Mus musculus: one gene and its partners. The protein of the gene in region 2 purifies or fractionates together with the protein of the main gene of each other region. This does not show direct contact. Links are inferred from orthologs where the notes say so. Each region holds a gene or a part of one and is shown on either strand. Other genes may lie near its edges. The genes, in order: Washc5, Capza2, 2900026A02Rik, Twf1, Cnot1, Cracd and Svil.

Region 1 (3,500 bases), on a different chromosome or scaffold from region 2:
TCCATCAACAAATGGGTAAAAATAAAAGTTTTGAGCAGCAAGAGATGGCCGCATTCCTACCCGTTCCACATGTAATTACCAGAAAATCAAACAAATTGCCACAGGCCACACACAGCAGCGCTCAACCCTTACCTTGATGATGCCCACCAGGGTCGTTTTCATCATCAAGATGCCCTCAGTAAAGATGGAGATGGCGTGAGTGAGCTTGGCAACCTTTAACAGCGAGAGAGGGAGGGGAGATGAAATACATCACGGGGGAGAGTCCTCACCCCTATGCATGGCCAAACGACTGGTCAAAGTAATGCACTGGGCAAAGGCAGCAGTGTGTGGTTGTGTAAAGGACACTGGTGTGTCCATGCCTGGGATGGACGTGAGGCTATATGGGGGACAGTCACTGTGAGCAGTTCTTCGTCCTTTTTTTTTTTTTTCTTTTTCTCGAGACAGGGTTTCTCTTTATAGCCCTGGCTGTCCTGGAACTCACTCTGTAGACCAGGCTGGCCTCAAACTCAGAAATCCACCTGCCTCTGCCTCCCAAGTGCTGGGATTAAAGGTGTGTGCCACCACGCCCGGCTAGTTCTTTGTCCTTTAACATAGCACTTCTCTCTAAACTTCAGAGCTGGCCTCAGGATAAGCTGCCACTGCCCAGCTTCCTGAGTGTAATCAGAGCATTTTCCACTTAACAATAGGTGCAACTTACGATAGGTAGGCTCACTGAGGTGTAACTTACGATAGGTAGGCTCACTGAGGTGTAACTTACGATTGATAGGCTCACTGAGGTGTAACTTACGATAGGTAGGCTCACTGAGGTGTAACTTACGATAGGTAGGCTCACTGAGGTGTAACTTACGATTGATAGGCTCACTGAGGTGCACCTTACGATAGGTAGGCTCACTGAGGTGTAACTTACGATAGGTAGGCTCACTGAGGTGTAACTTACGATAGGTAGGCTCACTGAAGTGTAACTTACGATAGGTAGGCTCACTGAGGTGTAACTTACGATAGATAGGCTCACTGAGGTGTAACTTACGATAGGTAGGCTCACTGAGGTGCAACTTACGATAGATAGGCTCACTGAGGTGTAACTTACGATTGATAGGCTCACTGAGGTGCACCTTACGATAGGTAGGCTCACTGAGGTGTAACTTACGATAGGTAGGCTCACTGAGGTGTAACTTACGATAGGTAGGTTCACTGAGGTGTAACTTACGATAGGTAGGCTCACTGAGGTGTAACTTACGATAGATAGGCTCACTGAGGTGTAACTTACAATAGGTAGGCTCACTGAGGTGTAACTTACGATAGGTAGGCTCACTGAGGTGTAACTTACGATAGGTAGGCTCACTGAGGTGTAACTTATGATAGGTAGGCTCACTGAGCTGTAACTGTAGCTTGAGTACCGCACGTACAAAGGAGGATGTGGAAAGTCAGGTCGTGGGACACAGGAGGAACAAGGACAATGACAGAATGTTCAAGAGAAAAGAGCTCCATCTCTACAGAGAACTCAGGTGGGGAAGCTCTCAGGGACACTCGGGAAACATCAAGAGCACTAAAGACTGCAAACCACGTTATCGCTGAGAGGGCAAGAACACAACCACAGGTGGTCTGCTGGGATCCCGGGATATGCCAGGAGCCACTGGCCGGGGATGCTTCGTATTGGAGCTTCAAATATCCAAAGACAGAAGTCAAGGGTATGGCACCTCATATCTCGGGCCAAGCTGAGCGTAGTCCCGCAGCTTGTCCTTGTCCAGGCGTGTAGGCACTTCCATGATGTCATGGGTCTGAAGCTTTATGATCTTCAGGAGAGATGTGAACATGCTTTCTGGAATGATCTGCAAAACCTTTGATGAAAAGACCAGGAAGAAATACAGTTGAGAATCTATATGGTTTTTTTTTTTTTTTTAGCTGATGAACAAGGAAGATGAGAGCAAGAAGGTCCCAGTGTATAGGATGGCAGTTTGTGTAAGGAGAAGTGCTGAGAAACTTAAAAGAACTAGTTTGAAAACTGTTAGAAGGGTGTAAGACATGTGTACACACCTTTAATCTCAGCGCCAGGGAGGCAGAGGCAGGAAAATCTCTTGTGAGTTCAAGGCCATCCTGGTCCACACAGCAAGTTCCAGGACAGCCAGAGCTACATAGTAAGCTGTCTCAAAACAACTGCTAGAGAGACAAGCTCATGCCGTCCTACCACTGCCCAAGATGTCAGTAACGTATAGGAAGGGTCTCAGCCAGTGCATGACACAGACTGACTCTAACTCAGACATGGCTGGGTCCTGGATCCATCACAAATGATTGGAGCAAGGACCAAGATTCTCCTGAAGACCTGAACTAGGTTCTAGTAAGAGAATGTGAGCTGTGATCTGCCTCTGAGCAGCCAGCTCTGCCCCTGAAGAGGCTACGTCACCTCTGCTCCTCAGCTTCTGCAACTCTGAGGCCAGAGCATGTGGAAACCAGTGTGATCTCCTTACAAAGTAAAGCACATTTGCACGTCTGCAGCTTCAGTAAGATACACTTATATCTGGACATTTCTGGGAAGAAACCCGAAGAACACAAAGCTCCGCCAGGGCACTGTTTATTTAAGGAAGCAGCTATCAGAGGCAGTCCTTACCTTTCTCACGTATGACACCAATTCTCCTGAATAATACTGAGACACACTGAGGAGATCAGGGCTATTTGCTTGATTAATACGTAGCAGGGGAAGGTCAAGGGCAGAGGCAAGCTGGAAGGAAACAACACATATCTGTTTCTTGCTTCATAAATGCCCTAGAAACCTCTTTTCCCAAACTGGAATTTACAAGGCAACATTTGTGCTTCGCCCAATAGAGGGACCAATTAGAAAGCCTCAACAATGCGTCAAATAGGTTCTGACAATACATTAGAAAAACAAAACAAAACAAACAATCCACAGTCATCTACTGTGGCAGTGTGTCTCCCACTGGCCGCTGGCAGCAGCTGGGAACATGTGAGACATGTCAGTTTCCAGACCTACCCCTGACTGACTCAGCAATGTGGGAGCGGGGTGGAGGAGCTGCTGCGCTAAGGAACTCTGATGCCCCAAAGCTGGAGAGCTGCTATTCCATGGAAGCCCTTTGCACGCCAGACTCCTTTTCACCAAAGAAGCTGTTCTGTGGCTCCAGTACATAGGTCTGTAACCCAGGCATAAGATCAACCATGTACTTAAAACAAACCATAGATTTACTTTAAAACATTCATAATTCTTTCACCATTTATTAAAGATGAAAGCGAATTAGTGCATACTAATGAGATGGAGATTCATTTTTACACAGAGAACTAAACCCTGGCAGAACACTTGATGCTGCCTCTGATGAAACGGTTGGTAAATGTTAGTGCAAAGTGGATAGACAGCCTCGTACCCCGACCAATGAGAGCAGAGCAAAGCCGATCCTTTCTTCTGCCAGAGGATGGATGTCGGCGTTCCCTGCTTACCTTTAGGAACGTGGCTCTGAGTTTGGTAACCATGGATGGGTTTACCCTTATGCTTT
Region 2 (4,031 bases):
TTGTTTTTGAGACAGGGTCTCCCTGTCTCAAAAGAACTCAGAAGACCAAGCTAAGCTGAAACACGTTCCTCCTGACCAGCCTCCAGGGTACTGGGGATTACAGGTATGCACCAACACCCAGCTAATCTCTTTTTGTTGTTACTTTCTGTAAGGTGGCCTCAGAACTAGAGATCCTCCAGTCCCAGTTTCCTCAGTACTTAGATTACAAATCTGCTCTGCCACACCCAGCTATGATTAATTTCTAAAATGCCTCATTCCACAGGGGCAGTAAGAAACTATATAGCAGTAGCACACAATGTTCACATTACATAAAAATAAACTAGTTAAAAATGGTGAAAACACAAGGTTACCAGTTAGCCTTTTCACTAAGTATAAAAAACAAACTTAGAACCTGATACTATAAAGAACCATTGCTTTCTTTTTAAAAATAAGCAAATTGAAAACCAATATATAACCCCAGGATAGTCCTATAATCAACTTCAAGGGAACATAATGGCATTAAGTATACAAGCAAACCTTGAATTCTGATAAACTTAGGTTTAAATTTCACCTCTGCCATTTCCCTCCTATATAAGGCCTTTAAAACCTTAATTTACTTACAGGTAAAGGATAATAAAACTATCTACCTCAAACTTAAGTTAAAAAAGAAAATAGAACATTTTTCTTACATGATAAATACATATAAACTACACTATTATACATTGTAGTACCTCCCCTTCTTTAGACCTGCAAAACTGAAATGTAAAAAGTATTTAAAACTTACTCCTGAAAAATCACAAGCAAGGAAATAAAATAGAGAAGCATGATTTAAGAACTGGTCCTAAAATATCACAATTAAATCCATTTCTGATCTATATGGAACACCTTCCTAAAACAGTACAAGTCTACTGGGAAATAAAAGTGACAAAATATTGTTTTCCATTTACTGGTTATTTAAATTTCACTAGAAAGTTTAACCACTGATCTCTTAAATTAGAAAATACTGTTATAAAAATCTGTATGTGAAGTTACTACAGAATATTCCTACCTATGTCACAAAAAGATGCTAAATCTAAGCTTAAAATTCTCATTAATTTGTTTCCAACGTTATGCCAGCAGGTGAACTCATACACTACTCTGTAAAACTCAGCACACTGGGTGTCAAGGAATCTTCTCATTTTATTTTGAAATTTCCGGGCCTTTCCAACAACATGGCAAATCTACATTAATTCCCACCCTAACAATTCTCTTCTCACTATCTTCCAAGCCAATTGAGCTCCTCCTAATAATTATATGAAAGTACACAAAACATGAAAAAAATCGCTTCAAGAACTTTGAATCTGAAACGCTATTTTTCTTGTAATGCGCTGGTATATTTTCAATAAATAGCTTTAAACTATTCAATGCTACAAATGTAAACACTGTACAGCAACTTTTAGCGACTTAGGGTCTAATTCTGTGAATTAAAGTAAGGTATGCTTGTCCCCATTTTGTTAAGTTATCACCATTTCATCCAAGGGCACAAACGAGAAAGCCAGAACACTTCCAAAACCATAAAAGAGGCTGAGTTCTGAACAACCAAAGAGAAAGAGAACACTAATTCTGGTGCAGTATAAAAGGAGAGGGTCCCAACTGAAAATATCCTTAGTGTTTCTCTAACACCCTACTAGAACTGAGTTCTGTTTCCCACATGGGTGTACTTCATTTGGAACTTAAAAACAAGCTAAGATCAGACATTTCCAAAGGGCAGCACACTCATATGTCAGTTAAGTCTAAGTTTGAAAAAAACGTCCCGGTCTTTTCCAGAAAATACTCAAAACGTATGGCGTTCCCCCTCACACTACTTGCCCCTTGGTACGCGGTCTCCTCAGTCGCCAAAGAAAATGGGCAAGAGCCTTAGTTCAATGATCAGATTTCGTATCACAAATGTGAGAACTTGAGTCGTGCATTTGGTCCTAATGCTGTCACAGCATTTAACACACAGTAAAAGGAGTTGCACCCGCTCGCCCTCTTCAGAGTTGGTCCTATCAGGAAGATGGGATGTCACCAAATCTGCCCCAAGAGGGGGAAGCAGCCAAGTTGGGCAGAAAATAACTATGGGAGGGAGGGGTGTCTTTGTGAACAATACTGCCTTCCGGGGAACATGGGAGCAGCAATTAAAAAAAAAAAAAAGGTAATGACAATATTAATAAAAGAAATAGATGGCGGGGGGTGGGGGGGAAGGGGCGGGATGTGGAGACGGCGACCTCCGGAGGGAAGGAAACACCCTGGGGAACCAGGAAGCACTTCGCGTTGGGGAGGAGAAACTGCAGGAAAAAGTGAGGGTCGGCTATGCCGTCTTCCCCGCCCGCCCGCCTCACGGCGAAAGCCCCAGGCCAGGCGGCGCCGCTCCGCCGTCGGCCGCTCCCGAGCCCGGACCCCCAGGGCCGGGTCCCGCCGCCCCCGCTCCCGCCCGCGGCCGCCGGGCTCCGCTTCCTATTTTCGGAGCACACACCCTACAAGGAGCGGAGGGGCCCGGCCTCGGGGAGCCCGGGCAGCACCCCGCTCGGGAAGCGCAGGCGTGCGGCCCACCACCGGAGCCCGCCCGGGGTCAGACTCCGGCCCTCGCGCCTCGGCACTCACCTCTCCCGCCCTCCCGCCCGCCCGGCTCCTCACCGCCGCGGCACCTACCTTCTCCTCATCGGACAACTGCTCCTCCAGATCCGCCATCTTCCTTCTGGCGACAGACCGTGGCGCTGGTGGCAGCAGCGGCCACCTGACTTCCCCCTTTCCGAGCGGTCTTCCGCGCCGCGCGCCCCCGCCAAGGGAGGGGCCCCGCCGCCCAGGCCGCCGCGCACGCGCCCCGGAGCTCCGCCTCCCGGGAGCCGAGCCACTGCGCACACGCCTGGGAGCTCCGCCTCCTCAGCCTAGGCCGCCGCGCACGCGCCCCCGGAGCTCCGCCTCCCTCCCCCTGAGCGCCGGCCTGAGCGCCGCTGTGCGCGTGCGCAGCGCCTCCAAAGTGGGATTGCTATGGTTATCTTCTGTCATCCTGCTCTGTCTGGTGCCTTCTCTAGTCAACGATGACCATATGGACCCGGTTGGCGATGAGTACATTCTGAGCCCATGACTTTGTTCCCACCAAGTCCTGAACGCTGCCAGCTAAAATGTGAAAAGCTGTACCAATTTAAAACATTTTTAAGTATTAGGAAAAATACTGTTTTAATTGAAATAGGCACACACAATCCAGTCCATAATTGAAAGATTACTTTTGATATATTCATTTATTCATCCGAAAAACATTTATTGGTCTTTTATGATAGGAAGACTATTTTGCTAGTTCTTAGGAATAAGAAATGTAGATTTAAAAACCCAAACAAACAAAAATCCCAAAGAAAATGCTCTTAAGCTCACCTCTATTAATTAGACATTGAGTTAGGGAAGGCATTGTACTCCTGGAAAGTAAAAAAAAAAGAAAAAAAAGTTAAGTTAGCCTTGGATCTGTACCCTCATGAACTGGCTGTCCAAACTACTTACAGGTCATCCAGTAGAAATTTCAATTTCATACAACCAATTTTTAAGGTAAATGTCCCATGAAGGATTTAAAGCATTCTAAAACCATTATTTATTATTTTCAAATTTTACTGGATGTCTCCTACTTTTATTTGCTAAATCTGGCAACTCTACTACTGAAGCTTCAAGTTAAAGAAAAGGGGGGGGGGTGGAAGGTTGAAGTCAAAGCTGACACAGGAAGCAGCTGGAAATGTTGATAAAATTGAGTTGCTAGTTCAGCAGGCCTGAGCAAACCAGAGAATCTATATTTCTTACAAGCTCCCAGGAAGGAGGAGTGCTACTCGTCTGAAAACCACACTTTGTTTTTACCAAGGACTAAGAGTTTAGTTAGTAGTTAAGACTTCAATAATTAGAAAGTGAGAAGCTCTTGAGGGCATTTGGACAGTGTCACGACATGAACCGAACATGCTCAGCGGTGTCAATCTGACAGCTGTGTGTAAATGACAGGTAAGAGGACCCTAAAGAGCTCAAATAGCTATCTGGGTCCAAGAACACTATCATTA
Region 3 (4,282 bases), on a different chromosome or scaffold from region 2:
AAACGGGTTCAGAGTGGTTAACACACCCGATGGCAGTCACACAGCAGATAAAGCCAGGACTTAATGTTGGGCAGAGCAGATCTGAAAGCAGGCGTCAAGGTAGGCAGATGTGATTGGGGGCTCAGGAGGAGTTAGATTCTGTGCACGGGAAGCCTTGGGAGGACCAAAAGGGGATGGGAAGTGGGGCTCTCAGAACTGTCCGTCCAGCTGGTCATCTGGGGTCAGACACTTTCATTTCCTGGAGTATTTTAACAACGCGCACAGCTGACTCAGGTGTAAGCAGTCAGCGATCATACTTTGAAAACATATCCCTATCCTCGACGGAGACAGGGCTGTAAACATTTCAAAGGTCACCTAACCGCCCGATTACCAAGAAGGGCAGCGCTAACTCAGGCCCCAAAGTCAAGTCCTTAATTGCTTCCTGATAGTCGCTCCCACACAGCTGACTAGAGGATTTCTGGGGACAGGAGAGCCCCGAGTTCTCAGGCCCAGGGACGCTCCCAAGTAAGAGATTCCATGAGATATCCGTCTTGTGTTGAGCCCTCCACTCAGACAGCGATTCCCCTTCCCGGGCCAGCAGTCAGGGTGAGGGCAGTGGGCGGCCACACCTAGCCACATGGGGACACTCAGAGTTGGGAGGTGCATGGCTATGGACAGCCAGTTCTAAGGACAGAACTCAGTTCCTCCTCTCTCTCCCCCAAGCTCCCATTTCATGATCTGCTCATGGGTGGCAGTGGAGGAGTCTCCACAACCAACACTGCCTGAGAAGACTGTCAGGAAGAACAAAGAGGGGACAGACAGAAGGACTCAGCCTGGAGGGTCTGACATAACACAGTACATCAGTAGCTCTGGCCTTCCCTACACCCTCTTCCATGGGGCCTGGCTGACCTCTCCCCCTGCCTCCTCCGGGAAGCCCCCCTTGGTTTACCTTTGTTGCTTCTCAGCAATTTTGCCTCACTGTCTCCAAACATCCATCAAGTTCCCCCAAGAGGAGTGGCAGGGCTTAACCCACACTCCCGGAATCTGAAGCAGGCAGGGGCAGGAGTGTGTGCCTCCAGGCAGGGATCTGGTCCCCTCAGTCCCAAGCCTTCCGATGCAGGACAGGAGTGTAAAGGTCTTTTATTTGCTCAACACGCCCTGCACTCTGGGCAGGACCAGGAGTGAGGTCTTGCCTCTGCCCTACCTCCTACCCAGCCCTCAAGGCTCAGCCCAAGTGTCACCTTTGACCACACACACACACACACACACACTAGGTTGGGCAAGGTACCTGCTTGCTGGAACCATTCTGATGACACAGGCTATCATGACAATAACTCTTCTGGGCTCACGCCCTGAGCTCAATCAGATGCCCTCCATGACCCACCTTACGAACGCTCCTCCCCCGTGATGGAGGAGAGGACCATTTTACAGTTAAAGAACCTGAGTCTCAAAGAAGTACCACGGGATGGTGATATGACTCAGTGGATAAAGGGGCTTGCCAACAAGCCTGAGGACTTGGGTTCAATTCCTGACACCCTTCTCTGCCCCAGACCATGATCCTCCTCTTGCCCCAAGCCACGCCCCCTCCTCTGCTGTCCCATTCTCCGTCCAGATTGACCCAGGGTTCACTCCTCCGGGCTTGACTTTCAGCCTAGTGCTTGACACAGAACCATTTGTTAATGAATGAATGACTGATGAACGGACATACTCGTTTGGAGGCAGCTCATCCCGTGTGTTGGTTAGGTGATTCCTGGTGATGCTAGCAGGGGTCAGATGCCAGGGATGCACAACTGACCTCTGAACTCCCTTGCCCTCTGGTGACTCTGTGGGGGGGGGGGCGGGGCTGTATAGCTCAGAGTCTGGGGTGAGGGTGCTCCCCAACATCACAAATCAACAAAGACGTGGAGCAGGCTAGACGGCTAGAAAGTCATCCCTGAAGAACAGATTCTGACCTGCTCTGGGCTGGTCCAAGCTGACTCCGATGTACCCCTGCACACAGCTGCAGGCAAGGCTGGACCACGCGTCCAGACTCTGCACTTCTCGGGCCTAAGTGCGCCCCTGCCAAGCCCTCAAGTCTCCCCTGAACCCACCAAGGCACCGGTGTCTGCAGAGCCCAGCCCTGGCCGCACGCCTGCCCTGCGGGGTGGCAAAGAGAAAGTTGGCCGCTTGAAGCCTCCACCTAGAGTCCCGATTACTGATTAACCAGTCCCAGCGCTTCTCTGTGCGTGGCCTGGAGCCGCAACTCGCCCCAGTGGAAGAAAGTCCAAGTTACACATCTTTGTCACCGCGGACCAGGGCAGTGCGCGCGCCACCCCGGAGGGCGCGACCCCGGGGACAGGGCGCAGGCTCCAGCGCCAGCCGCAGGCCCTCGAGGGGACAGCTCTCTGCAACAGGCGCCGTCCCTCCGAAAGCAAAAGGCCACGGCTTCCCCGCCAGAGGAAGGGTCAGCCCTGGCCTGCACAGCGCGATCCCGAGACACGCGCGAGCCGCGGACGCGCGTGGAGGGAGCGGGGGGCCAGCCCTAGGCATCCTTCGCCGACATTCCCCGGCCGCAGATTCAACGGGATCCACCCCCCTCCCCCAGCAAGTCCGCAGCCGGACTCCGCACGCGGCTCCTCCCGCTCTCCGTTTCGCCCTCCCTCCGCTAACTTTGCCAACTTTACACGCGGCCCCGCGGGCAGGAGTGGGCGTCCCCGTGCGTCTCCGCGCGCCCCCGCGGCCCGCCCGCGCGCCCCCGCGCCCTCCGCGCACCTACCGCAGTGGCCCGCCGGCGCCGCACCTGCCCGCCCGCACCTGCCGCGGCGCGCGCAGCCTCGCCGCTGGGGGGCGGGGCTCGGGCGGGAAGCGCCCCGTCGCCGTGGCAACCGCACCCGGTGGCGCCTGCGCAGAGCGGCGAGGGGCGGAGCGCGGGAGCCCGGAGCCGCGAGACTATGTGGGGCGCGCCCCCTGCCGGGTGGAAGCGGCATTGCGCCACGGTGCCGGCCAAGGCACCTACTGTGTGCCCCGAGGTGGGGTGACAGAGCATTGCCCACCAAGGGCCCTGCTACTGCGCATTCCTGACCAGCTGTCTTGTTCGTTTTCATTAATCATATCGACCACTATGGTTTTGGTTTTTTTCTTTCTTTTTATATTCCTTTCTCTTAAAAACAAAACTATTTCTTTTATTGTTAGATATATGTGTATATGTGCACGTAAGTGCAGGTGCTGACAGAGGCCAGAAGAGGGCAACAAATTCCCAGAAACTGGAGTTGGAGGAAGTTGGACACCATGTTGGAAATTAACGCTAGCAGGAAGGATGGATGAGATAGGGGATTTACGGAGGAGAAACTGGGAAGGGGGATAACTTTGGAAATGTAAATAAATAAAATAACCAATAAGAAATAAAATACACCATTGCATACACCAGCAAGATTTTGCTGAAAGGACCCTGATATAGCTGTCTCTTGTGAGGCTAACACAGAAGTGGATGCTCACAATCAGCTATTGGATGAAACACAATGGAGTAGCTAGAGAAAGTACCCAAGGAGCTAAAGGGGTCTGTAACCCTATAGGAGGATCAACAATATGAACTAACCAGTACCCCCAGAGCTCGTGTCTTTAGCTGCATATGTAGCAGAAGATGGCCTAGTCAGCCATCATTGGGAAGAGAGGCCCCTTGGACTTGCAAACTTTATCTGCCTCAGTACAGGGGAACACCAGGGCCAAGAAGTGGGAGTGGGTGGGTAGGGGAGTGGGACAGGGAGGGTATGGGGGACTTTTGGGATAGCATTTGAAATGTAAAATAAGAAAATACCTAATTAAAAAAAAGAAACAAAATAAATAAATTCTAGGCTTACAAAAGTGATGCATTCCACCACTAACGAGCTCCTAATTAAAAAAAAGAAACAAAATAAATAAATTCTAGGCTTACAAAAGTGATGCATTCCACCACTAACGAGCTCCTCGTGCTCCAGTCCTCTTCCTCTCCCCAGAGGCTCCCTATGTTGTTGCTCAGGTTTGAGCTCCTGAACTCAACCCATTCTCTCCTCAAGTCCCTTCCTTTACCCCAGTAGCTGGAACATCTCTGGAACGCTACCCTGCCAGCCTATGCATCTTTGCTAAGTACCTTTTCTATGCTGGGCTCTGGGGACTCCGCTCTGAGGGAGCTGATGGATCCAGGTTCTCACGGGACTTCACCAGCATTAGGGAGAAACATCGCATGTGTAAATTGAATCATATTTATGACTCATGCTCCCCTGAGAAATGGGACATGGTTTATTCCTTTCTTTTGTTTTGTTTTGTTTGAGACAAGGTTTCTCTGTGT
Region 4 (4,154 bases), on a different chromosome or scaffold from region 2:
AACACGCCGTGGTACAGTCACATAAAAATACTGTTTGTGTTTTAAAGTCATCATATGCTAGCAACACAAATCCACCAGAAATCCCAGAAATAAAGATCAAGAATATAACAATATGCACTTTATATGAACTTAAAAACAGCATTATGTGCTAAAGATGATGGATTTTATATATGTGTGTGTGTGTGTCTCTATCTATCTTTCCAACTGTAGATGCTCCACGAAAAGAAAAGTACAGCTGTCAAAGCTGTCCTTCATTAGAGAGACAGTAACAGTTAACAAGGTCTGGAACAAACTATAAAGTACTAGGTCATTAAGTTAAGAGGTGGGTATTTATGTTTCCATTCTCTGAAACTTACTAGTTTAACAATTTTCTCAAGATTAAAAAAACAATTGGAAAATATTTAAGAAATAGAAATTTTCTTCCTAAAGTATGAATTAGATACATTTTATCTTTCCATTTTGCTTACTGACCGTCACAATTTTAGCTGCTTTGAAGTATATACATTTGTTCCTACAGACTTTAAGATTTCCTAAACTAGTTTCACAGTTAAATATATAAGCAGAAAATGGAAAACAAACTTAGTTTATTTCCAGTTTATGAAAAAAAACAAGTTATTTTTCCAAAACAAAATGTCTTAGGGTATTTGAGGCCAACAGAATATTTTCAGCACATTCATTTCAACATCGAGTTATTAACAGTTTCTTCAAATCCATCTCCTATCAGATATAGCCACTCAGCCAGTTTCCCTGTTCATAAAATTAACATTAAGGAGTCAATTTATAATTTGCCATTTTCTCAGAACGTTTGCAAACAAGAAAGGATCTCTGTATGATCCAATCAAGCAATAAACAAACAAGTATCTCAAATGTTTCTACTTCAAAACACAGCTCATTGAACAACTCACAAAATAATTAGTTTTGTTTTCAATAAATGCCCAGCTACTGATTTTCATTCTAGAAGCACTGACATTAGACATAGATTGTGCTGCAGAAAAACACACAACAGGTGAAGCCTCCACACCAGAAAGCACCTGCTGTCTCCGCAATGGCCGCCCCCAGTTTAAAAGGAAAACAGGCTGAAAGGCAAGCTCTGAACTTGCTTCATGCTGATTAATAGTTCAAATTACTCATAAGGCTTGGAAACCTGAAACTGTAACAGCTAACCCTCCAGGGGCACAGAGTATCTTAAAACTGTTAACTAACCATTTTCGATAGATATTTTCAGAAGTCTGTATTTCCCGTTTCTGGCTCGGGCAAAGATCTCTTTGACATCTTCGCTTGCTGTGGAAAATGATAAAGGGAAAAAGTGTTTAAACCTAGAAGTAGTTTAGTTTGTATTCACCTAAAGAAAACATAAATTAAAGAAACATGTGGAGCATACAGGCCCTTCTTATTGTTACTATAAAACAGAAGCATAAAATACCGGCCTTGGCGAGGAGCAAAAACTAAATACTAGCATTTAGAAGTACAGGAACTTCAACATTTTAGCCACAGAACTCAGTAGCAGAAGTAACACTAGGGTGAATGCTTTCAGTCAAACCCAGTAACAGACAAATTGCTCCATGTTTGAAAATGTTAACAAGTTGCTTCTAATAGTCCAATTTTAAGTTTGTGATGTGTGCTCCTTCATCAAATCATGTCCTGTATCTGTCCATCAAGAACAACAGGATCAAATCTCATATACTGATTAAAGAAAAAACCTGTAAAATACACTAGATCTTACATTTTTCTTGCATCTCTTTGTAAAAAGTTATAGAAGCCACCCAGGAAATAAACATTTAATAACCTATCCCTTGTGTAGTCATCATTGCTTCAAATTCGGTCTTGTGTTGTTGATTGCCAAGCAAGACTAATATTTATGTCTTGTTATATAAAAGGCTCAAACATTAAACAATAATTTTGATATATTTAAATGTCATAAGTAACACGGGGGAGATTAAGTGTTGTTAGATCGGAGACTATTTTTGCCTGCATGTGCACAGAATTAAGTGGTAGTGTCAAAAACCCTTAAAACACAAAACAAGTTATTAAGTGGTCACCCGGGGGAAAGGCTCGGTTAACTATTACGGGAAGTGCTCTAGTTTATATTAGAACTCGTTAAATAACCCCGGGATATATTATTTGATTCCGTAGGAGGTTGAGTACGTCCAAGTTGCCTATTTTCCAACCAGGAAATAATAAACGGCGAGTAAGATACACAAGTAAACTGCACATTCGACTGTCTCCACGGGGTTCATGAGGTGCAGCTACACAGATCAGACTTTGCAGCTGCCTGGGGTGCAAGCATCCAAAGATGGAAAAACACTCCCTACTCGGGATTTCTCCGGAAGGAAGGCACACCCGCGTTCTGAGAGAAAAATCCGGGGAGTTCGGGAGGCAGCCTACAGCGGTGGGAGCTGTTTGGTTTTCAAACGATCTGAGTGCTGGAGCAATCTCCTTTGGCGGGTCCCGAGGAAAAAGTCGCTCGGCTGGCCGGCGGCAGGAGCCCAGCCAGCTTCGGTCTTCCTGCTCTCGGCACGGGGGCCGGGATGCAGCGGGGTCGCCCGGGACATCCTCACATCCTCGGTTCTCTGGCAGCCACCACCGGCCTGTTACGTGGCGGCCGCCGGGGAGGGCCGCGAGGGACACAGTCGGGGCCGTCGCACCCAGAGCAGCTCCAATGCCGTGCGCGCCTCCAGCGTTCCGGCCCGCAGCCTCCCGGGAGCCCCTGCCCCGTGGCGCCGTTACCTTGGATGCCTGTCTGGTGGGACATGGCGGCGGCCCCAGGCTCCCGGCTCCGGCGCAGGGTGCGGTAGCGGCCCCGGCCGGCGGATCCAGGAAGTAGCGGCTCCGCCTGTGCGTCATCGGCCCGCGACTCTCAGCCCCGCCCCCAGCACCAGCCCCGCTCTCCAGCGCGACATAGACCCCGCCTAGGATCCCGCCCCCTGTTCTTTCACTGGCTACTTTCATTGTCGTCACAAGCCCCGCCCCTTAAGCCATTGGCCATGCCCTTTCCCGGCAATCACCCCCCCTTGCCCCCCCCCCCCCCCCCCCCGCTGCTGTTTCTGTCCAGGATGCACCTTCTGGCAGTGGGCTGTGTGTCTATCACACGCCGCAGCGACACACCTCATCAAAATGCTTTAGAGGGAAAAATGGCCATTTTCCGAAACAAACGCTTTCTACATGAAAGACATATCCTTTGCTGTAAAGAAAAGACCATTTTAAGGCGAAAGATAAAACAGTTAAACATTTGCAAAGCAAGATGGGGCTCAAGACCACTCCTGGCCCACTTTAAAATAAGAGACTGTAGAGTTCTCCATTATTTTCCCCGTGATTTGAATCTCAAGCTGTTCACTTTTCAATTGGTCACTATCACACAAAACCACTGTTCTCACCTCAAAAAAGAGAAAAAAAAGTCTATTCTGAAATCAAATATGTGCCCTATCAGGCGGGGAGGAGGCACTAATTCAGGTGACACCCCATCCCAAATATCATGTTTCAACTTGGTAACAGACTTATGAATTTTTTTTTTAGTACCAGAACAAAAGAAAATCACAAATCATCTTTAAAATATATTTGGTGGGGACATGGGGCTATACCCAAAGTGGCGAAATTTCTGCTACTGGTTCAGATATTATCTGAAGAGGGCATCTTTAACCTTTCAATGGGAGAAGCTAAGTGGTCTGTACATTTCCAAGGATGGACTCAGAAGTGGCTAGTAACTGGGATGGCCCAAGATAATTCAGCTTAGGACCTACACCACAGTCCTACACAATCAGGCACTTCTAATCAGCTAGGCAACCTTTTTGAGTCTTGAACAGGTTTGGGGTGGCTTTTTTTTTTTTCTGGAAATTTCAGCTCATAGCACTTTAAGAGACCTCATTGTCCTTTCTCTGGTTCCCCCAAAGAACTGAGTGTGAAACCACTGAGCCATTGAGCTGACCTGAATATCTCTCTGTGGTCAGCTCTACCCTTGGAAACCATTAACAGAGCTTTGCTTTAGGTTAGCCTTTGATTGCTTCAAGTCAAATGTGTGTTCGTAGTTACCTGGATGCAATACATTTGTATGGAAACAGCAGACAGGAGTTACCGTTCTTTCTCACTGTACACTTTTATCGGCATGCATTCCCCTGTGAAAGTTTATTCTATTGTTTATTTTTATGTATGTTTTCTAA
Region 5 (3,500 bases), on a different chromosome or scaffold from region 2:
CTTCTGTCCCATGCAGCACTGTGCAACAGACTGAAATAACCTAAGAAGTGGAGACAAGCACCAATTAACTTCACAACAAACTTTAAGCCTAAAGATCTCTTAATCTGAATTAGCTATAACTGCCCTTTTAACTCACAGACCCAAATTAGACACATTCTTTTCTGTCTCCCTGCTTGGTAATTAACATTTTAACTCACTTTTCAATCTCTGGGGCACAGTGTACAAATTCATGGTTCCAGAACTTAAATGCTGGGTTTTTAATCAGCTCAATGAAGGTGATAAGAAGACCCCAAGGATGTGGCCTATTTACAATCAACCGTTCCAAGAGAACCCTAAAAAGGGGTATAGAAGAGTTAGTTAATACATTAAAAACAAATTCACAACTATGCCTTCATTGCCCCTTTCCCTGAATGCACTCAGAATTTAGCATATGAAAATAGGTGAAATTTTTCCTACATGACAAGTGCTGGCTAGTACCAAATCTTTGTTCTTAAACTTTTTTGTTTCCTGGTGGCAAAGATTAAGGCCTTTGCTGCTGAAACTGGCACAAGTATTTAGTTGGGCGAAGAGGTAAAGTACAAGTCTGTATGTACACCCCACTATATTGTGCACTAATATCCAATCCTATACAGTTTAAACAAACAGTATGACCCTACTGTTTCCCTTTAAAACCTTAAAAACATGAAGTACACAAAAATGTCAACAAGATTCTGGATAAAAAACATTACTGCCACAGCTACCACCAAGAAACTAATGTTGCTTTTATTGTAAACTAGTACCCAGCATTTCAAAGCAAACCACTGTCCATTATCAACTTGTTTTGTAATTCCTTAGACATGGCTCAGCATAATAACACAGCGAAACTGGGAATGCACAGAACTCATTCAGAATACAGCGGAAGCAGTCAGTGGTGGTGCACACCATCCATCCCAGCACTCAGGAGGCAGAAACAGTTGGATCCCCAAGTTTGAACCAGCCTGGTCTACGGAGTGAATTTCAGGACAGTCAGAATACAGGAGAAAAGAGCCCCTTTAAGGCATCATGACAGTACATCTCTCACCTTGTGATCTGTTCCTGGATTGCCTCAGTGTTCGCCTCAGCAAAAAGGTACAACATTGTGCAGCTGAAGTAGTGAGTGTGGCTGTTTGGGTACCGTAGCTGGTTCGCAATTGCATTTAAGAAGAGATATCGGCCTAGAAATTAGGGAAACTAGATTTAGGATTTGCTCTGAAAGGCCAGTATGAGAGACAAATGAGTTTCCTTAGGCTTTGGTTTCTTAGGGGGACTGATACCATCAGTCAGACATAATCTAGCATGGTGGGCCTTGGGCAAACTGAGTATTATTCTAATTTTGCGATTTACTATTGGTTTTCTGGATATGAACTTTTTTTTTGCTTCTGTAGGCGTTATTTGCAATCCATATTATGAATCAGCAAAATACCTTACATTCTTTAAAAAAATTTTTACTGAAAATCTTGATCCTACACAACAATGGAAAGCTAATCTGCATTGTCTCAACATCCAACTACTTAAAACATTTTATTTCATGTAGTACTTGAAAAATTGTACACATGAAATAAACATAATGAAGGCAATGTCTTCCTCTGACAAAAACAGTCCTAACCTCAAAGCCCTTATAAGACTCTTGCCCCTAATGATCCTTATACTCTGAAAAGTACTTTGGTAGAATAATTGGAGAGAAAGTTTCAAATCCAGAATCTCCCACCATGCTCAGGTGGCAATAGATCTCTTATCTGTATTTGATTATCTTGTTTGTACCATTGATCACAAAGACTCTTAAACACTTGTCTAAAGGACGTAACATGAGGCCTCAATTCTACACAAAAAACTACAGGCAACCAAGAAATGCTCAGAGTAGAAAAAAACAGTCTTGTCTTCTCAAAGATGAGAACAGCAACTGGCTATCCAATACCAAATGGCCAGCCCTGAAACATATGCACAGGTAACAATTATACAGCCTGAGCAGCTTATACTGTAAAATATATTAGTAGTCTCAAGTGATCTAGCAGTTCCTCCTGACATGCCCCACTCCTAACATCATGGTGGCATACTAGCAACAGACTGGATTCAGCTACATCTGGTAGTCCTAGATCAGTGCCAAAGCAGCGAGGGATGCCCTGAAGACCAAGTTCAAAGCAAACGCTAAGACTTCTGGCAGGAGCATAAAAACTGTGAACATAAGTAGTGGATCTGGACTGAAGCATGAGCTGCTCAATCTTCAAAACCACCCCCACCTCCTGCAGACAAAACTACACATGTGGCTGATAAAACAGAAAAGGTTAGCCCCCCACCCCCAAAATGTGTGTATATACATGCACATATATGCATGGAGTAACAATAAAAATGAGGTCATGAATTTCTAAGAGAAAAACAAGCAAACAAAACAACGAGCAGAGCTTCTTTAGCACTAAGCTGGGGATTCTGAATCTTGACCACTGAAACAAACAGCGCAGGAGACACCACAGCGACGTGCCCTGTACATTTCCTACAGAGGAACAGCAAGCTCTGGCCCATTATCTTCTTACACTCACTAATGTGTTCTGTTCCCTGTCAAGCAGACCCTAGTAATTGTTGGTAAAGACAAACTTATGTATGAAGCAATGTAGTCCGACCTTCAGATGTAGGCTATCAAAAAGAACATACTTATTTCCCACTTATTGCACTCTGGCATACCATCTTTACTCACAGGATAAGATTTGGGGCCATTTTCTTAAGCATTCCTTATTGTAGCTTAAAGGAAATTTCTAGATTCTTTCGATTATATCTGTGGCAAAGTACAGAGTCTCTGATGATGCCAATGGCCAGCTGCTGCACTCACCCTCAGTGTCTAGGTCCACAGCCAGGTTCTGGAAGATGTCCATGTGTGCTGAGTGGGTGATGGTGCTCATTGAGGGCGTGCTGCCCTTGTTGTGGATGTGTGCGATAGCCTGAGTCCCTACGTAGAGCACCAATGCATTGATAAGCTGGAGGTTGTAGCGATTCCCGGGCTCATTAGATACCTAAATGGGCAAAGAGAAAACGTTACCATAGAACTATGAATAACACTTAATATTTCATTATTTTTTCCAGAGACGGGATCTCACAGTGCAGCTCTGGCTAGATTCAAACGCAGAGATGGCTAGGCCTGTGCTCCCCATGCTGGGGTTGAAGAAAGGTGAGCACCACTGTGCTGGGCAGCACTGCTGTTTCTCAAGCCTCCTTTCTCTGAAAGGGATAGGTAGCTGTTGATATTTACATATAAGAAACTTGTTCAAGATTGTGAGCTGTACAAATGTGCAGCTGCCCTCAGAGTGATTCTACTAGAAGACGTGTTCCTTTGGAAAACCAAATACTTTTGCTCATGATACAGCTATAAAATAAATTTCAAGCACAACCTCAACCATATATAATTTAGAGAAAGAAGTTGTTGCATTCTATGCTAACTCTGCAGAGCCAATTCCACTTCAAGTCACTCCATAAAGGAAATTTAACTATAATCA
Region 6 (4,103 bases), on a different chromosome or scaffold from region 2:
AAACAAAAAAACCATCAAAGACATACACAATGACAATTCCAGACATAAAACACACATGCCTCTGACACAGCTAAACTCTCATTCCATGCTGGAGTCTACGAGTATGCTTATCGCAGAGCATCACCATCCGCACACCGCTGTCATGGGAAATGCGAAGCACTCATGCAAGTGTATGAGGGCACTACGTTTGGGGGACTTACCAGGAACATACTGCTTAGTCGACTGAAAAAGAAAGCATAGTCTTTGGGGAGTGATTCAGTTAAGGCTTTAGGTCACTTAAAAAAAAAATCCCATTTGCTCTGACCATGGTCCCCACTCCCCCACCTTGAAGAGCAATGCCCTTAATATTTCCAAAGTCACCACCACAGAGATCAAAGGAGGCTCCTGAGTCCTGGGACAAAAGAAAAATTAGGCAGACCTCATGTGACTGGGGCTGCACACTAGTCATTTTGATCTGTTCACCCACCCCTCCTTCTTGTGTTAATCAAATTGTCACTTCAGGAAAGTTGATGGCTTTACATTTTATCAATTAATGAGGTCAGATTACTTAAAACCATAGGGTCGCCCAGGTAGGGGTGGCGCATGCCTTTAATCCAGGCACTTGGAAGGCAGAGGCAGGGGATTTCTGAGTTCAAGACCAGCCTGGTCTACAGAGTGAGTTCCAGGACAGCCAGGGCTACACAGAAAAACCCTGTATCAAAAAACCAAACTAAACCAAACCAAACCAAAACCAAAAAAAAAAAAAAAAAAAAAAAAAAAAAAAAACCAACCAAAAAAACCCCCAAAACCAAAAAACCATAGGTCATGTTAAAAGAAGTCAGTCACTCATATATTTTATTGGGTTTCTATTTTTTTCAATACTGCGCCATTACATGCACTGTACAACACTTAAAACCCACTTTTTAAAGTGGCAGTGGTATGTGGTAAATGTTACAGAGCAGGTATCACTGAAGGCAACAGGCCAGTATCCACCCTTCAAAGAATTTCTTGACGCCCTATAAAAATACAGTATTTCATGGGCTGAATTCTGCACAACATTCTCTTTAGTAAAGGGGCGTGAGAGGCCAGGGGCTCCGAACCTAGCGGTAATCAAAAGCCTGCAAGAGGGAAATGGGGTAATGCTTCCCTGACTACTACTGTCCTCTCTCTTCAACCTGTGTGAAAAGTGACAGCTTGCTTCTTCCAGTCTCAAAGTCCAAGACCACAGCCAGCAGGAACAAAAAGAAGGAATCCGGGCTCTAAGTGTTGGCACTACAAGCCAGACTGGGCTGGCTGTGCCAGCAGAGACCTGGTCTCTGTCAGTGGTGACTGCAGGCATAAAGATCTAGGCAAGCTTGGGTGTGGCTCCAGGGTGTTGGCTCCTTCCTGGTTTTGCATACATCACCTTGCACTGAGTGTATGATGGCAGGTCATAAAATACACAGCTTGTGCCCAGCAGAAACAAGTACAGGTGGAGAGGATGGAAGTTACTGTTGCGTGGGATGCTCCTTTGTATCACTCAGTTCTCATTGTTTCTTTATTTTGCTTTTTTTTTTTCCCTTCTCAGACATTCACTATTGTAGACACAGTCAGCTGAGACAGGGTAACTCAGAGCCCCTCTGTTCAAAGTCTCCAGCAGGGTTCTCAGCCTTCCTAATGCGGTGATTCCCATAATACAGTTCCTCTCTCTGGTTATGGTGTTGCCCAGCCAAAAATAAAAAAAAAAATTATTTTTGTTGCTACTTCAAAACTGCAATTTTGCTACTGTTATGAATTGCAATGTAAATATCTGATATGCAATCCTGTGAAAAGGTCCTTCAACCCCCAAAAGGGGTTGAGAACCACTGGTTTAGGTCATCTCTAGGCACCCACACCTCAGAGAAGTTGCTTGCCCTGGCATTGATTTCTGGTGAGGGAAATGTTTTTTTAACCACGTTTGGTATAGCACTGCTTTACCACGTTTTCACTGTTAGGGAGTCACCAGCTAAGTCAATGTTAGTTGAGGACACCGCCCACATTGCAGGGAGAAAGGGGTTGTATGGTCCCTTCTAGACAAGGTGGCCGGGGGGGCTGCATTTACAGACACACCAGAGGCTCGCCTCTCCCCACCTCATGCTGGAGACTCACACGATGGAAGTGAGCAAGGATAGCAGCTGCTCAGCTAACTTAATGGTTAGGAACGCTTTCCTCACACACAAGCCTCGTAGCTTCTCTTAGGGACTTGTTCTCATGTCCAGTCAAACAGGAAGCAACAATTGGAGGAGAGGAGAGAGGACAAGCCAGGGGTGGGGTGGCAGTATAGCAGTGCTAAGCATGCCTCTTTAACGGGGAACTGAGTGAAGTCTAAGAAATCAAAGCTTTCTCTCCTGAAGTGACCCTTGACCCTCCCACTCCATCACTCAAGGACCAGCCAGGGACTCTTCCACTTCCCTCCCCAGAGGATGGGGGTGGGCTGGGCTCCTCTGGCTCTGATCCTCCAGTCTCAAGCTGCCTTACCTGAAGAGTTTTGACTTTGCCCAGGATGTTGTCCTGTGACATTGCTTGAACTGTCTGCTCACTTTCTGCTCCCCCATCAGGGATAAAAATACTGTCATGGGAGAACGCCCGTGCTCCCATAGAATAGTTGAAGGACCTGGAATGCAAATCACGTGCTTCATTTTATTAGGATGATAAATGACTTCTCCAGATTCAGTTTTCTGGGTCCCCCCTCCCTCCACCCCCGCCTCAAAGGCCCACATCTCTTAGCTTATTTAGAAAGTCCTTCTACGCCACAGCCTTCCTGCAGAGGGTTGGCAAGGAGCAGGGTAGACGAAAGGTTCCTATGGGAACGGGAGAATGTGGTCCTAACACTCTTTCTCGGAACCATTCACAGGGAGAACTTGGAGCAAGGTATTTATCTGTAGAACCAATGGTGCTGAGCTTCTAACTGGAGGACCTGCCCAGCTGAGCTGTGACTATCAGGCTTGTTCCAGAAAATCTTGCTAACTAGTACTTACGAAGTGATCTTGCCAACTAGTACTTATGAAGTGGCACAGATCTAAACAGGTGTCTTTGACTTTCAGTCAGACTGCAGTGCAGATATACAGAGCAAAGCCTTTGGAAGAAGGGACTATCAATGCTTGAAGAATACACCCGGGGCGTGGGGGGCGGGGGCGGGAAGAAACCCACAGGCAAGCCATTGGACAGGCTTTGCATAGTTCTTCAAAAACTGCTATGCTTTAGCCATGGTTTGATATCAAGGCTCCAAGTGTTGGAAGCTGGGTCCCCATTCTACTAGCATTAGGGTGTACTAAAACCTTTAAGAGGTGGGGTCATTGTGAACGGTGTCCTCGGGAGGAGTCAATGCAAGTCCCAAGAAGCCACAGTTCTCCAGGATGAGTAAGAGGAGGAAGTCTAGCCCTCCCCACACGATGGCTTCCCCTCCCCACAGGGGAGGCACACTGTAAGAAGCATCCACTTCTGGCTTCTTTCCACGCTGCTGTGATACCATCCAGTGACCCACCGTAACCAGGGGACCTTGAGCAGGGCTGGCACCATGCTATTTGGATTGTCAAGCTTCCCAAACTGAATCCAACAAACTTTATGTACCCAGCCCTCTAGGAACTCGGGTATTTTGTCACAGGCAGGAACAATGTTACACTTAGTGGAAGACAGTGTAACAGTTAGCAGAGAGCTCAGGATACACGATGCCCTAGGCTTAATCTCTAGTATAGAAAAGAAGAGAAAAACAGACACTTTGCAGCTATAGGGATGCACCTCAAAGGTGTGTGGTCATCTGTCTACCTGATGAGAGAGACACACAGTAGGGATCTCAGGAAGCCCCAGGACACAACTGGTCCTTACTCCGGCAGACAGAGCGGCTTATCCTTCCTATGGCAAGGCAGCCCATTGCAATGGTGCCAGGTGACAAAGGCTTAGAGAGCACCACCTTCTCCTCCTGCCTCCTTAGAGAGGAACCTTAAAGGGAGTTTGTCTCAGAGACCAAGGGCAGGAGAGCATTGGAGGCACTTTCCACATTGCACCGCAGGGGGACTGTTCCTCTACCCAGGTCTAGATGGAGCTGGGAAGACTGATTCAACTATGGCATTTAATTTGCCGAATTGCAGGAAGGAAGCACACTAAAG
Region 7 (3,500 bases), on a different chromosome or scaffold from region 2:
GTGCCATGGAGACGGTCCTGCAGTACTGCCGAGGTAAGGGCAGGAGAAAGGGGTGGGAAGTCCCCACAGGCCTAACCATGTCCTTCCTGAGATGCCTGCAACCTTGAGAAGGCTCCAGCACTCCCCCTTAAACTGCTGGAGGCTTGTCAATCTTAGGATCAATACATTCTCTGCTACTAGAACAAAGGAGAGTCCATATTTCCCTTTCAAATGACAGGGCCACCCACAGGTGTACTGTGGAACCACCTGCACTGCCACCACTCTGGCTAAGTGACCTCCATGGCACCATTCTCTCTTCAGGCAATGCCGGCATCGTGCCCAAACTGGCTAAAAGCCAACGCCAGTCTTTCTTTTGGTATCATATCCAATGATAACAACAACCGAAACAGTTTCCTACCTAGCATAGAATCTGACCTTTTACAGAACATGGATGCCCATAACTAATGCTTTGTCTACATGCTGATAGTTTACTGGCTCTCTTAATGCCCCGGTGTGTGTGTAGTTGACTCTTGCCATGGAAAGCTCTTTGTGAACAGCCTTCCAAATCCCACCAAATGCTCACGGCACCTGGAAGATGCTGCCATCGCCTGTCACCTGCTCTCGAAACTTGTCCTCCAGGCAAATGAAAGGGAAGCAGACATACCTGGTGGGAGTTTCCAGACAGCCTTCTGTCCCCCCAAAATGTTCAGAAACGTTTTGCCAGGTTCAGGAGGTGGGGGGTAGTAACCTTTCAGATAAACAGCACCTGTGTGTTGCTTTAAGTATTTTGTGATCCGAGTTCTAAACATGGAAGTCAAGAGTTCTGAAGGAAAATGGGAAGAGCCTGAGAAAAAGCAGGACAGACTCTTTGGGTCCACTGACATGTGCATTCTGTGTTCCCACAGGAAAGAATCTCAAAAGGCCACCCCCCAAGTCTTACCTTATTCATGCTGGGCTAGAGCCCCTGACATTCACCAACATGTTTCCCAGCTGGGAACACAGAGAAGACATTGCTGAAATCACAGAAATGGTGAGCTTGGGGCTCCAAGGACTACAGGCATTGCAGCTGCCTTATTCAGTCTAAGCCCAAGACAGAGGTTGCCCTGGTATCTCTGCATTTATTGTTGCTCATCGGCATGGCAGGAGATGGGGGAACAGTGCATGATGGTGAGCAAGCTCATCATTAAGGCTCACTGGCAAGGCACAGCACATCTGGTTTCTCAGTTAATTACCAGGACAGTACATCAGTGTTCATCTTACTATTGTCTCCATTGTACCAGTGTAGGAGCTGAGGCATACAACACTTGCCTCGAATCTCTGAGCCACCAAGTGAGGTACGATTCACAGGAACAGACCCGAATGGGCTCGGCACCACACCTGCTTCTCCCTGACATTCATCCCCATAGCTTGAACTTGAGCTCATTCACACGCCATCCAACTGCCCAAAGGGAAGCAGCACTTCCCAGACCCAAGTATAAGGGATAAAGATGGTTTTCCCAGAGCATCTCTCCCCCTACTGTGTGCGTGTCTGTCTGTCTGTCTGTCTGTGATTGTGTGTGTGTGCATAATCCAGGGCCTTATGCATTCTAGGCACAGACTCCCCTACGCAGCTTCACCCTCACCCTTACCTTGTTTGTGGATTAAGAAATGGGTCCTAGGGGAAGGGGAGAGGGCATGATTTCTTCTGAACGTAATTACTTTAAAATATGTTCAAACAAATTCCACTATGTGTAAGCATCTAGTGATTTGATTTCAGGTCCAATAATCTTTTTCTGTTGTCCATTCATGGGTAATCTGAGTCCCTAAACATTCATTCATTTACTTCTGGAAGTAGTTCAGAAACAGGCTTAATTTAGTACAGGAGAAAAGCTATGAAGGGTAGGAGGTGATTCCAGGACATCCAGAGCCCCCACTCCACAATGGAGTGACGCCTTACTCAGCCCTCCCCAGGCCGTAGGCAGGGCAGAGCTGGGAGTCTGTGTGCTCCAGCGATAGCACTTGTCTGCTCAAATGTACTCTGCTCCGTCTCCAGGATACTGAAGTTTCCAACCAGATCACCTTGGTGGAAGATGTATTAGCCAAGCTCTGTAAAACCATCTATCCACTGGCAGATCTGCTTGCCAGGCCACTCCCAGAGGGGGTCGACCCTCTAAAGCTTGAGATTTATCTCACAGATGAAGACTTTGAGGTGAGTGACCCTTGTGTGGGATGCTGACAACACACTGGGAGAGCATCTTTTTACTCAGTCACTCACTGGGAGTTTCTCCATCTCTTCTAGTTTGCACTCGACATGTCCAGAGATGAATTCAATGCACTGCCCACCTGGAAGCAAGTGAACCTGAAGAAGTCAAAGGGCCTATTCTGAGGGTGAGATGACAGGGCCACAGAGAAGTCGCTGCCGCTAGACCCGAAAATGAATGGAGATACATATTTGGACTAGTAGTTTTTTCTGTCAAAGAAGAAAGTATTTTTGAATCAGAGTTTTTCAAAACCTACAGCTTGTTCTAGAGTTGAGCATTCTGTAAATGTATAAGAGAACTCTTCTGATTGTTCTTTTCCACAGTTCAGGTGAACTGAAAAGAAAAGTGTCTTTTCCGTTCCCCTCAGCCAAGTGCTGCCTCAGTGGCCGCTGCAGCCCTACCCTTCTGGTCTGGCTCAGCACTGCCTTTTTTAAAGCAATTCTCTTTATAAAGTGTTATTTTGATAGTTTGTGAATTCTAAATATATATATATATATTTATATAAACACATATAAATCAAGTATGTATTTAACAAAGCAATATGTATTCATTCACTTGCAACTGTTTTCTTTGGTGTCAAAACAATATTAGAGGACTGTGTTGCTTCTGTTGAGTTAAGCCTACCACCAGTCTGTCCCGTGCTCAGGAGTGCCTCCTTCAGCCTTAGGTCTGGCTTGTGCTAAGTTCTGCTTCCGGTGCTAAAGCAAACAAAGACTTTGTATTCTTAGTGTGAACTCTGAAGAATCTATTTGAATCAACCTTTCTACCTTAATATCTCCCCCCAGAAATGTATAGTGCCTTGTTTATGTACAGTTTATATACAGAAAAGTTTGCTCTGCTTTTTTGATGCTGGTTTGGAATATTATCTACAGCTTTATTCTCAGTAGAAATAAAAACATCTCAATTTCTCATACCCATTGTAAACATTACACATGTCATTTTGTGGCACAGGATCCCAAAATAAAATATCAAAGTAATCCCAATTCATTGATCAGTTCACATTGAATTCCAAGCCTGTTCATGGGGTGGGGCACTATTCCTGTAAGGGGGGGGGGGGGGGACGGACACTATGTAGCTGTCCAACAAACACTAGTGTGCTGCATTGGTGCCAACTCCTGAGACTCTGAACTTCAACGCAGGGCAGGACATAAGATTAAATAGACCTGGCAGACACTTGACCCATAAATTTGCTCTAAACACTGAACATGTTCTTAACACCACAGCTGCATCGATACTCACTTTAAGATCTCAGTGCCTTTTCTCCAAGTGTGAATTGATGTG

What was found.
Region 1: the proteins of Capza2 (region 2) and Washc5 purify together in Homo sapiens (affinity purification with mass spectrometry; 3 studies listed by BioGRID and IntAct, counting the BioPlex papers as one, with this or other methods). This does not show direct contact. The link is inferred for Mus musculus from reciprocal best matches to the Homo sapiens genes CAPZA2 and WASHC5.
Region 3: the proteins of Capza2 (region 2) and 2900026A02Rik purify together in Homo sapiens (affinity purification with mass spectrometry; 3 studies listed by BioGRID and IntAct, counting the BioPlex papers as one, with this or other methods). This does not show direct contact. The link is inferred for Mus musculus from reciprocal best matches to the Homo sapiens genes CAPZA2 and KIAA1671.
Region 4: the proteins of Capza2 (region 2) and Twf1 purify together in Homo sapiens (affinity purification with mass spectrometry; 3 studies listed by BioGRID and IntAct, with this or other methods). This does not show direct contact. The link is inferred for Mus musculus from reciprocal best matches to the Homo sapiens genes CAPZA2 and TWF1.
Region 5: the proteins of Capza2 (region 2) and Cnot1 purify together in Homo sapiens (affinity purification with mass spectrometry; 3 studies listed by BioGRID and IntAct, counting the BioPlex papers as one, with this or other methods). This does not show direct contact. The link is inferred for Mus musculus from reciprocal best matches to the Homo sapiens genes CAPZA2 and CNOT1.
Region 6: the proteins of Capza2 (region 2) and Cracd purify together in Homo sapiens (affinity purification with mass spectrometry; 3 studies listed by BioGRID and IntAct, counting the BioPlex papers as one, with this or other methods). This does not show direct contact. The link is inferred for Mus musculus from reciprocal best matches to the Homo sapiens genes CAPZA2 and CRACD.
Region 7: the proteins of Capza2 (region 2) and Svil purify together in Homo sapiens (affinity purification with mass spectrometry; 3 studies listed by BioGRID and IntAct, counting the BioPlex papers as one, with this or other methods). This does not show direct contact. The link is inferred for Mus musculus from reciprocal best matches to the Homo sapiens genes CAPZA2 and SVIL.

The regions. Positions count from the first base shown.
Region 1 is NC_000081.6:59,346,688-59,350,187, forward strand, and holds part of Washc5 (WASH complex subunit 5), read right to left. Parts: coding exon 3,445-3,500; intron 2,717-3,444; coding exon 2,606-2,716; intron 1,839-2,605; coding exon 1,698-1,838; intron 214-1,697; coding exon 133-213; intron 1-132. UniProt on the Homo sapiens protein: Acts as a component of the WASH core complex that functions as a nucleation-promoting factor (NPF) at the surface of endosomes, where it recruits and activates the Arp2/3 complex to induce actin polymerization, playing a key role in the fission of tubules that serve as transport intermediates during endosome sorting.
Region 2 is NC_000072.6:17,635,779-17,639,809, reverse strand, and holds the start of Capza2 (F-actin-capping protein subunit alpha-2), read right to left. Parts: upstream 2,801-4,031; 5' UTR 2,689-2,800; coding exon 2,650-2,688; intron 1-2,649. UniProt on the Homo sapiens protein: F-actin-capping proteins bind in a Ca(2+)-independent manner to the fast growing ends of actin filaments (barbed end) thereby blocking the exchange of subunits at these ends.
Region 3 is NC_000071.6:113,218,477-113,222,758, forward strand, and holds the start of 2900026A02Rik (uncharacterized protein KIAA1671), read right to left. Parts: upstream 2,801-4,282; 5' UTR 2,735-2,800; intron 2,647-2,734; exon of another isoform or gene 1,932-2,646; intron 1,462-1,931; exon of another isoform or gene 929-1,461; intron 1-928.
Region 4 is NC_000081.6:94,587,025-94,591,178, forward strand, and holds the start of Twf1 (twinfilin-1), read right to left. Parts: upstream 2,801-4,154; 5' UTR 2,753-2,800; coding exon 2,728-2,752; intron 1,282-2,727; coding exon 1,204-1,281; intron 1-1,203. UniProt on the Homo sapiens protein: Actin-binding protein involved in motile and morphological processes. Inhibits actin polymerization, likely by sequestering G-actin. By capping the barbed ends of filaments, it also regulates motility.
Region 5 is NC_000074.6:95,720,446-95,723,945, forward strand, and holds part of Cnot1 (CCR4-NOT transcription complex subunit 1), read right to left. Parts: intron 3,021-3,500; coding exon 2,840-3,020; intron 1,194-2,839; coding exon 1,061-1,193; exon of another isoform or gene 994-1,060; coding exon of another isoform or gene 835-993; intron 333-834; coding exon 198-332; intron 41-197; coding exon 1-40. Other genes in the region: N-lysine methyltransferase SETD6, read left to right, coding at 835-993.
Region 6 is NC_000071.6:76,839,296-76,843,398, reverse strand, and holds the start of Cracd (capping protein inhibiting regulator of actin dynamics), read right to left. Parts: upstream 2,801-4,103; 5' UTR 2,726-2,800; exon of another isoform or gene 2,718-2,725; coding exon of another isoform or gene 2,716-2,717; intron 2,612-2,715; coding exon of another isoform or gene 2,596-2,611; coding exon 2,476-2,595; intron 223-2,475; coding exon of another isoform or gene 201-222; intron 1-200. UniProt on the Homo sapiens protein: Involved in epithelial cell integrity by acting on the maintenance of the actin cytoskeleton. Positively regulates the actin polymerization, by inhibiting the interaction of actin-capping proteins with actin.
Region 7 is NC_000084.6:5,116,089-5,119,588, forward strand, and holds the end of Svil (supervillin), read left to right. Parts: coding exon 1-33; intron 34-884; coding exon 885-1,009; intron 1,010-2,011; coding exon 2,012-2,167; intron 2,168-2,257; coding exon 2,258-2,344; 3' UTR 2,345-3,205; downstream 3,206-3,500.